Yarrowia lipolytica: one gene and its partner. The protein of the gene in region 1 binds, or shares a complex with, the protein of each later gene. Links are inferred from orthologs where the notes say so. Each region holds a gene or a part of one and is shown on either strand. Other genes may lie near its edges. The genes, in order: YALI1_C29926g and YALI1_D06665g.

Region 1 (6,555 bases):
ACCTACGAGCATCGGTTGAAGCTGGGTGCGAAGTATATCTTTCATCTGGAGGCGTTTTGCGCAAAGGTGATGGTCTTGTTGGAGGAGTAACCAGTGAAGTGAGTGCAAGTACATGCAAAACAAAAGACACTGGCCAGTGCTATTGCAGTGAAGGAAGGACTAAGGATATATATAGATAATGAAGCATTGATTGAAAGTAGGCGTTGGTCTGATGCAGTGAACAGCATGCAGATATCCTTTGCCCTGCTACTTCAAGTACAGTAGTCCATTCAACGGGTCCATCATCGCCTGTGGCGCCAATGACGCGTTCAACATCGCAGTTTCGTCCCAGAACTGGTTCAGAAAGTGTTCGGAAGCTGAGAAAAGGGAAGCTGAGAAAAGGGATATCCTCGCAGACCCTACCACTCGGAATGGGAGAAACAGAAGGTGTCTGTTTCCTCGCCCAGGATATTGCTAAGCAATTATGAATAGCGAGCTCGTGAGGAAGGGCCATTATCGCAGAAGAAGCCCCTCGTGTCACCAATGAGGGTTGGCGCCGTGCTTCTAGATTCTTTGTACTTGGTGACATCCACGGACTAGAGTCAAGACGCGAGCTACTGGTAGGACAGACGCTGATACTGGCACAACTACAGAAACACTTTGGCGCTTCACCCAGGGTTCGACTGTGGTACAGAAGGCACACACGGCAACCAGCGCAGTTATAAATAAATATATTACAATACAAATAAATAAGTTCTCCATCGTTGCATCACCACTCCAGCCCCTCAGTCCACTCCACTAGCCTCTCACTTGCATCTTCCGCCTTACTCACTGCCTTGACCCGTGAGTAGTAAATAGGACAGTCCTGAGACTCGCACCTAGTCTCAAAGTCGCCTGAGCACTGCGCGCAGATTGTGTTGAGCTCATCCAGCCGCTTCTCCCTGTACCTCAGATCGGAGTTAAGCACGAATGTTGCATGACCAGGATCACTCTCGCACGTGGCGCAAAGTTTAGACAAGCCAGACGTCTGGGCAGTCTTGCAGACGATGCACGAGTTGGACACAGCGTACGACTTGAGCGTGGTTTGGTTGGTCTTTGCTCGAGAAACAGTCTGGTAAAACTCGTACCGCCGCTTCTTGGGCATCTCCTCGTACCACTTGAGAACAGAAGCACCCACACAGTTAAAGAACCGATCCAGAGGGGGAATCAGAGTCTTGTGAATGTAGTAGTCGGCGTCGAGAATGAGAGAGTTGGCGTTCCTGACTAGTTCTTCAGGAGAAACACATCGGTCAATCAGCCGACTTTTGGGAGGACCAGCAACAACCACATATGGGATACGTTCCTTGTACTGGGGTTCAAAGCGCATGTCGACTGCCATTTTCTCAGCCGAGATCTTCGCACCCGCGGGCAACACTCCCCCTTCCTTGTACTGGCCTAACTTGACTTCCTTGGCAAAACAAAAGTCCTGAATCGAGACCTTACCAGTTAGAATCTTCGTCCACTGCTCGTAGAGGTACGATTTGACCAGAGATAAATCAGCAGTGTCAAACAAGATACGAAGAGCCTTCTCCTCAATCTTCTGGGCAGCAGGGGTGCCGTCTCGTCGCACAGTTTCGATTCCCTTGGCGTCGAAAATGGGATACATCTGCTTCGAGTACTCCCACTTGTAGCCCACGTATCGCTTCTTGGATATGAGCATGCAAGGAAGATAGACCTTTTCAAACTGCAATTTCATGGGTGCTGGATTGGCAGATGTTATGGTATCAGCGATCTCAGTACCAATCTTGAATGCTTCATCCTTGGTACGACCAGGTAGACATACAAACAACGAGTCTGTATCGCCGTAGACGACCTTGGCTGCCCATTTGTCCGATCCATGGATCACGTCAATGCACTTTTCGAGCGTCTCACGTCCACTTTGAACTATTGCGTCAGCGATTTCGGCACAGGGCATACGTCCAGAGAAGGAGGCAGAAGTGTATCCATATGTGACGTTGGCCACGAGCTTCAGAGCAAGCTGTCGGTTATGGTTGAGTCTCTGGAACGACACATTGTCTCTATCGAGCTTGGCAGTATCCTTGACCATGAATCTGGTCTCCAGAATCTCACCCAGCATTCGAGCTAACAGAGAAACTCGAATATGGGGTTTCACAAACACCAGGCCATTTGGAGAGATGGTCACATCGTCTTTAGTCAGCAACCGTTTTACCAAAGACGGCTTGTAGAACAGTTTCTCCGTTCCCAAAGTGTTTCCGTCCTTTTCAAAATCAGTCCATTTGCCCAAACAGGTGGAGTAGCAGTAATTGTGGGCTAAGATGACGGAAGGATAAAGAGACTGAAAGTCCAGAACAAGAACGGGGCTCGTATAAAGTCGAGATTCGGGCTCCATTACCAAAGCAATGCACTCCAGGGCATTCTGCTGACCAACCTGTTCTCTACTGGGGCTTGCCAGCATGAAGTTCTCACTTTTTGTCAGGCGAGCAAGAAACGACTCGACTTTGTACTGACTGCCGCGGGTGTAGACGGACGAAAAGTCGATTCCCACCACTCGAGCCTGCTCAGCTGTTCGTGAAACAATCTCCAGAGTGCTCAAGAGCTGCAGATTGTAATTGGACCGCGTGCATTTGTACTCCACAAGTAATTTCCGGTCAGACAGACTGCCCACACACATTTCTGTGAGCGTATCGTGTGTGTAGAAGGGAATGCGTTCGTGTAGAACGTGGAAGACGACATTCTCAAGCGTGTATTTCAACAAAGAAACCTCCCCACGAATCATACGCCACAAGTTGAGCACATGACGGCCAACTACTTTGACTCCAGAAGCCTTTCGTGCGCCCCAAGTGTCAATTTTCGAGCTCATCTTATGATGCTGAACCCTTCCAAATTCACATGGGTACAACATGGTCTTGCAACGGTCTTGAACATAGCCCCAGGAAGAAGCTTGGACTTCAAAGCCAGTCAGAATGTCAGGATCAAAGTTCTCCACCATTTTCTGAAGATGAGTGATCATTTCACACTCTGTTTTGACGACAGTGGAAGGTGCTTCGATGATGTTTGTGAAGTCTGGGCAATCCTCGGCGTTGATAATCACTCCACTGGGACCACCCAACATGTGCCAGACAACGAACAGGATTGGGTCAAGATCTGGGTCTGGATTGAGACCTTTTCGAGTGTTCACATGAACCTCCATGCTCATGACCGTTAAAGCAGCCGACTCGTGTCGCTGGGAGAGTGTGTTTTGACTGGGGAAAGAGTACTTGGGCTTCTGGGTAGGAGGCGCTATCTGGGACAGAAACAGATCAGCATTGTTGGTAGTCTTTCCTATCCACTTGAGTACGTCATCACGCGATGGAGGAGACTTTGCCAGCTCAACAACGCCCTTAAGAGCATAGTTTGAGGGCTTTTCGGGGAATCCCGTTGGTAGATACTTTACGGAAGACCCCAGAATTCGAAAAGTGACGCCTCCGTGTGTCATTGTTTTTGTGGGGACGTCTGAATCACGTGAGTAGTGCGGCTTTGGGTAGACTTTCTGTGCCATGTTGTTGTCGTCTAAATCGGTAATACACAGTCCACGCGATGGAGGTGGCTTGAAAGTGTAGACTGTTGTAGTTAAAGTAGCAGTAGCAACAGCAGTACTCGTCTTTGCAGTATTTGGAACATCAAACTTGGGTTTGGTCACCTTGAAGTTGAGTCCCTTTTGTTTCCTGGTTGATGGGGGAGGAGTGGAACTGTGTTTTCTTGTTGCACTGCTTCTCTTTTCCTGGGACATGGAAGGAAGATCGTCAAAGGACACATCAAACACAAAACTGTCCACTTCTGAGGCACCCTCTCCCTTGAACATGCATTTTGTCGTTTCAAACGCTGTGGGAACGAGATTGTCGTATGGCCTTTTGGGCCAGAACTGCACGTATGAATGGGCCGAGTCTGCCTTGCTCACCTTCTCCTCCAACTCCGAGAACATGGACTGGGCTGAAAACCACTGCTCCCGCGGGTCATTTACAGTCCTTTCTCCATAGTCACTCTTGTACTCGCCTTTGCTGAACTTGTCTCTAATGCTCTGTAAGCTCGTCCACAGCTCTTTCAGTGAATGGAACGCCTTGTCCCCTGGCTTCTTGTTGGTCGAAATCACCAGTCGGTTTAAGATGTATTCGGCCTGCAAGTCAACCTCAAACTCCGACTTGGAGATCATACCTTCCCTTCTCATCATGTACCTGGACGCCTCCATCCATCCACAACCATGCAAATTGTAGTCGCAAAAGAATTGCAAAATGTAAGACAAGTGGCTCTCAAACACACGCGAGTGGTCCCATCCAAACACACCGTTCCTGAACATGTCCACCAGCATTCCAACATGACTAGGGTCCACCACCACGATCTTCAGGTAGTATCTCCATCCCTCATGGTATCCGTAGAATGGTGTAGCTTTGCATAGCACAATGTTGGCCAGAAAACTACACTCCTCGGGTAACTTCTCGCCACGTGTCCTCTTGGAACGGAGTTGCAGGTTGATTCGGCGATACATGTCTGCTATGAACGGCTCCGAATCCGCCGGACTTAAGGAAGGACCGGTGTAGGGTATGTAAAAGTATTGGAAGACGTTGTGCACATGTGCGCAAGACGAAAGACCGTCCGAGGTGCCTCCAAATATCCGCAGCACTGGAACCCGGTGTAGATCTTTGTAGTCGCATTCGCAAGATACCGTTTCAGGCACCTTGGACCAGTCCAGCGGCCCCGGAGGAGCCATTACATAGTCGATGTAATTTATCTGGATGCGCAGTCCCGACATGGTGGCGCTCGTGTGAGAAAAACCAGTTGTTTTGTGCCGTTTTCCAAGATGTTGCTATCGGACGTTTTTTCACTTGTTTATGTTGTTCATTATTTCGCATCTACCTGCATGAACTTTGTTTGACGCGACGGACGTGATCGAGTGAAGGGCGGAGGCGTTAAAATGGGGGCGGGGGAAGTTTCAGGGAGCATTTACGAGCTCAGTAATGTTAAACTTGGAACATAAAAGTGATTGCAAGTCTCCCGTTCGTTTTTGGGGCTATTTCTGGTCGCAATGGTAAATGAGAACAATTCCAAGTAAAAGAAAGCCGGGGGTTGATTACTTCTGTTCAAATTACTTAAAGAAGTGATTTCGCTTTTGACACTCTGTTTCGGGGCGTTTTGAATGGAAAAATTCCACTAGCAATTAATATGACTATGATTACTAAACCATCTTCAATATTATCCATATAAAACGCCCACATATCCTAGTACAAAGTCGTCTTCTATCGCTTCACAATTTCACTCTCATCAAATAAAATAAACTCCACCACCTAAAACCCCAACTCTAGATCACCACGTAAGCAGACTATCTCTCTACACCTGCCCAGCACCCCAATATGAACACCATCTTGTCAAATCTCGGCCAAACAGCCTCAGAACTGGCCCGAAAGGCCGCTGTTGACACGGAAGAGATTTACACAGCCCTGGACGACGACTCCGGATACCAGATCAACGAGCTGTCGACACTATACGACGATGGAGATGCGTTTGTGCTCGGTCTGCAGCGGTTAAAGGCCGACAAGAACCTCGAGCGAGCGCGAGTGCTCAGCCATAGCTCGGCAACACCGGTGGAGAAGCAGGACCTGCGGAAAATTGGCACCGATCTGCTGTTTGTCCGACAATACGAGCTCGAGGTGGACGGACGAGAGCAGCAACTGACCAGTCTCATCAAGCGGCGAGAAACGGAGGAGATTGAGCTGGAGCGGGAACGGCAGGAGCGTGAAGCGCTTCTGGAGGGAGACCAGGACCTTACCCCTCAGTCACATGGCTTGAGAAAACGTGGTGCTCACGGTAGCATGGACAATGAAATTTCCCAGGATGCCACACTGCAGACTAAGCTGCGGGTGGACGAGAACGAGCAGGATGACATTGCTAACGACGTGCTTTCATTGGTGCGAAGAATGAAGCAGAATGCTGTGGATATGAACCAGAAGCTGGCCAAGGATGACGCAATGGTGAAGGATACAGCGGCCGCTCTGGAATCGTCGTCTACAAAGATGGGATCCGTGGGACAGAAGATGAACGAGTACCAGCGGACTGCAGCTATTGGTTACTTCTTCTACATCAAGGCGGTGGTGTTTATGGTGGTTGCTGTGGCGGGAGGTATGATTATCATTCGGTTGTTCCCTAAATGGTGAGCGTGACGGAGCCATTTTGGTCGAGAGCATGTGTGATGGGACTTGGGAACGTGCCATTGAATGTGACACAACACCTGAAGTCATGCGCATGCCAATCTGTCATGAAGAACCGCTGCGTTCGCACCACCTCTCTGGAAGCTGGGCACTTCGTTATACAGCACCGAAGTCTGTCCTTGCCTCATTCTGAAGAGAGGGCCGCTTCCCACACACACACAAACTAATCAATCATTCTTGGTATGTTTCCCATTGTGCATCCAAGACCCTAATTTATAGCCTTATCAAGTACAAGTACAAGTACAAGTACGATTATTGTAAGGAATCTGAACCGGTATGGTGGAGATGCCTTACAGTACTGTGTTGTACAAGTGACTTTAGAGGAGACTGTGGGTAG
Region 2 (3,945 bases), on another chromosome or scaffold:
CCGGAGTCGAGTTCCTCAACAAGATCACCGTCAAGCAGAAGGACCTGTGTCGAGAAGTCGACTGCTCCATTGTCGTACGAGACTTTACCAAGGCCCTCCCTGCCCCTAACGGGTTGCTGGCTCTTCCCGCCCCTGAAAAGTAGCCTACTGTATATAGTCAAAGAGTGTAGAACATATATCATCATGGTCGCTGTGTTGAGTCATACTCGATGTTTCGGAAGAACTGGAACTATTACTTGTGTGATAACGGGGGAAATGTGCCCTAGAGCTCGTAGAAGATGGCTTCATACGCTACACTGTCCAACCACCTCTCACTTGTGCTACGATCATAAAGCCATGCAAGTGCAATATATTAGTTCCTAACTACTTGTAGTCCCCACTACAAGAGGTAGTTTGTCAAGAGTCCCAGCGACAATTGCTGAGAACATGGCATGTATCTGTTGAGAGCGAGAGTTAGAAGCGCTCATCGAAACCCCCTACTTCGTAGTGCTGCTGCCTACCCTCGCTACGTTGAGCTCCGCTCTCCAGCTAGGCGACAATCCTCAGCACCTCTGCCTTCAATGTTCGCATGTTCACCAGTACCACCTCTCCCGTCTCATCAAACCGCGGAACTGCCACCAGACGCACTGACACTCCGTCATGCTTGACAACACTGGTCTGGAACTCGTCCTGGTTGCCGCAGAAGTACAGGTGGGGAGTTTCCTTGATGATGAAGGGATCGTCATCTCCATAAGGATAGCAAGTCAGGGTATCTGGGGCAGTGGGACACAAGTGCCGCCAGGCAAGCGTATGCTCCATGATATCCAGAATATCGTCTCGTCCTTCGATCAGATATTTGTAGATGTCCGACACGTTTTGTCCCGAGGTTCCCAGCACCTTGAGAGGCGCCTCGTCGGTTGAAAAGTCCCACCAGTAGGGGTTGGAAACAGACCCAAAGGTGGCCTTTTTGAACTTGCGGCTCTGAGGGAACATGGACAGATGCAGCGGCTGCTGAGGAAGCGACATGTTGCCGGGATCGTCGTTTCCTGCCATGATATCAACAGAGATGGATGGCAGCAATTGTGCAATGTACTCGTCAACGCGAGCCATGGGCTTGAAGGCGTCGAGGTCCACGGTTCGAGATAGTGTGTCGATAACGGGTCTTTCTGACTCCAACGAGCAGTTGTTTCCGGCCATAATGAACCGCGAAATGTTTTTGGGCTTTACCAGTCCATCTTTTGCACCATCTTCCTCAAGCAGCCCCTGGAGATATTCTGCCAGAAGCACGTGTTTGTAATCCGTCTTCTTCTGGCCAATGTACAGACCAGAAGCAAGACAAATGTATGTGTCTTCAGGAGTATCATTGTCAGCCATCTCAACGTCTTCTCCGTCATTGACTCCACTCAGAGGTCGATAAATCTGTTCGGGAAAGCCGCCCCAGACCACATCCACGACCGTGAAGCGTCCGTTTTCGCCTGCCGTGCCTAGTACTCCACAAACAACGCCTGTGATGAGCATGAACTCCTGCACCTTTGGTCCCACGAGCGTGATTCGACCGGAGCTGTCCTCCAGCTGAATCGACGAATCGTCCTTGTGTCCACCGTCCTCACAATCGCCCTGAGGGTCCACGTACTTGGGCTTCTTGCCCGGAGGAGCTCCCCAATGGCTGCGGGTCACCTCCTCCAACATGCTGGGTTTGTATTTCATGTCCTTGAACAGTGTGCCGACCACAAACACCGTATCCCCAACAAGAACGTCCAAACACTTGTTGAGGTACTTGACGTTCTTATCAGCCCATTTGGAAGTAGCAGCATCCAGCACCTGGCTCATGAGCTGGTGCAATCGCATGTAGTAGATTGGCGCATACTGACGGTTGTAGTTGCGTTTTGTGATGGGCAACGTGAAGCCATCATTGAGCGAGGTGGCAGTAGTGGGCAGATTTGAACGTATCTCCGGCATGCTGAAAGTGTCGAGTTCTGGTATAGAAAGCTGGAGCAGTATTTCTCGATGGATCAAAATCAAAAGCGTGTAAATTGAACTTTAAAAAGAACCCAAAACCCGTGTACGCGAAAAGAGGGTAAGTAGAAGGAGATGCTGGAGCATGGTAGAGGACGATAGCTAGAGGACGATGAACGTCTATACGCAGTTCTTGAGTTGTACTTTGTATGTAGATATAGTTTCAGAGCGATTGAAGTACTGGATACCACGTTATGGCTGGGATGTTGAGGGAACTCCTATCAACTATGAAAGACGCGTTTAGTTGATATCTTTGTTAAAGCAATTATTTTCAGAGTAGAGCTTTCCGGCGATACTCCAACTCGTAGGAACTCTCGGGGAGCGGCCCCAAAAGATGTAGAAGAATAGGATATAACTGAACCATTACTGTAGCCTGCTATTTCAACATTCTCTTGCGCTGATACGGTCTAGCGGTCTCGCAGTGCTGAGGAAGACCTCACGAACACAGGCAAAGTTGAACGTTGGTATATTTATGAGAAGAAAGAGGAACCATGAGCTGTAATGCTGTCAAAAAGTATCAGAAGCTGTCAATTGTTGGGAATCTGGGCCCCTCTCTTCCCCATGGGACGCGCCATGAATCAACATAGAGGAAGTCGGCAGGTTCTTGTGTTATAGGAGTCACACTGGACGGGCAAAAGGAGACAAGGAAGTACAAACACTTCAAATAGGTACTTCTTTGACGCCATTATTATTGATGAAGTACAAACAAACGAGACTAATAGTCTCGGTAACCCCTAAAAAACACTTCATCATACATCCAACAGTTCGCACAGTAATCAACCACATCACGTGAAACGAGAAATATACATACAAAAGAGGACCAAAAAGATGGCGACATCCGCAGGATTCGAACCTACGCGGGGAAACCCCAAGAGATTTCTAATCTCTCGCCTTAACCGCTCGGCCAGGATGCCATGTGTGGACGGGGTTGGGTTGGTGAGCTAGCTCGAGAGACGTGATTAGTAAGCCCGCCAGTAGCTGAAGATCAGAACTATTGGAGATGATCAGAGAGTCGCAAAAACAGCTTATCAAAATACTTGTTGTTGATTTCGTGAAATGCCAGATTCGGTAAGACTCAGGAGGAGGGAACACATGGCATTCTACGTGACCCCTAAAGAATAAACGGATGTATATATAGAATATCATACCTGTACAAGCACAAGGAGAAGTACTATATAGCTCTCCAATGAACTACCTGTATCTACTAATGCCAACTCTCCTAGCTGGATATTCCTTCTTCCAGACTTGTTGCCGAAAGTTCAAGCCTTCCAGTAGCTCCTTAAAGATGCAATAGATCTCCTAAGACGATTCAAACTACATCAAAATAGCCGTCTTAGACCAGAGATTCCAATGAAAAAGGAATTTAGTCGGAAAACACGCGTCCTTGTCAATTCTAACGCACTGCCATTTTCTTTTTACTGTACCTAACCTCCGCCATAATAAGCTCGCGGCTTTGCTTTGAACCTAGAAATGCACCGCCACAAATTTTCAGCCACCTCTGTGCAGGCACCAAGTCCAGATAAGACAATCTACGAGATACAAGCCACGTTTGGGGAATACGATACCATGTCAAAAAAAAGAAGTATGTAATATGTACAGGTTGGGATGAGGGCAGTCTCGACGAATGATGGGCACACGTGGCACTCGTCTTTTATTTGAGAGCAATTCCCCGGTTGAGAGCAACTTCTGGTGGGGTGTCCAGTAGTACCCTCGTACCTTGTAGTGTGTTAGTGTTGCAACACTTTTTTCTCGGGGCAGTGGGATCACTTTCGAATCACCTTTCCGGAAGAGTCTCTGACGTGGCCATCGTGGTCAATGTACTCGCCTCGAGCCTCGGCAGCAGCGGCCCGCTCGGCAATGAGATTCCGCTGGTCTATTCGCAACTTGTGTTCGTACCGAATGAGACGTTTGTCGGCAGCGTACACTCCGCCTGTGATGACACAAGAGAGC

What was found.
Region 2: the proteins of YALI1_C29926g (region 1) and YALI1_D06665g are in contact, whole or in part, in a cryo-EM structure (PDB 7LXD), measured with the Saccharomyces cerevisiae proteins. The link is inferred for Yarrowia lipolytica from reciprocal best matches to the Saccharomyces cerevisiae genes REV3 and POL31. Residues at the interface, in NP_015158.1 of Saccharomyces cerevisiae: Glu722, Asp723, Thr725, Thr728, Lys729, His732, Cys733, Phe846, His850, Lys851, Arg852, Lys868, Ser870, Thr871, Lys875, Thr1423, Thr1425, Leu1426, Ser1427, Leu1429, Ile1430, Leu1433, Lys1434, Gln1436, Lys1437, Tyr1439, Gln1440, Lys1443, Val1445, Arg1447; in NP_012539.1 of Saccharomyces cerevisiae: Ser51, Gln52, Tyr53, Tyr54, Tyr57, Gln58, Val93, Leu94, Gln97, Tyr109, Cys110, Glu111, Met112, Lys113, Tyr114, Thr126, Tyr127, Gly128, Ala129, Pro130, Leu132, Thr133, Lys134, Tyr136, Thr137, Glu140, Gly141, Glu149, Glu151, Ser152.

What each region holds. Positions count from the first base shown.
Region 1 is NC_090772.1:2,990,836-2,997,390, reverse strand, and holds YALI1_C29926g (uncharacterized protein), read right to left. Parts: upstream 4,766-6,555; coding exon 749-4,765; downstream 1-748. Other genes in the region: YALI1_C29983g (uncharacterized protein), read left to right, coding at 1-90; YALI1_C29968g (uncharacterized protein), read right to left, coding at 140-568; YALI1_C29920g (uncharacterized protein), read left to right, coding at 5,364-6,164; YALI1_C29910g (uncharacterized protein), read left to right, coding at 6,193-6,313, 6,356-6,555. UniProt on the Saccharomyces cerevisiae protein: Nonessential DNA polymerase. Required for DNA damage induced mutagenesis. Involved in DNA repair, mitochondrial DNA repair and translesion synthesis.
Region 2 is NC_090773.1:664,626-668,570, forward strand, and holds YALI1_D06665g (uncharacterized protein), read right to left. Parts: upstream 1,939-3,945; coding exon 529-1,938; downstream 1-528. Other genes in the region: YALI1_D06638g (uncharacterized protein), read left to right, coding at 1-143; YALI1_D06682g (uncharacterized protein), read left to right, coding at 3,620-3,632, 3,676-3,945. UniProt on the Saccharomyces cerevisiae protein: DNA polymerase delta (DNA polymerase III) participates in chromosomal DNA replication.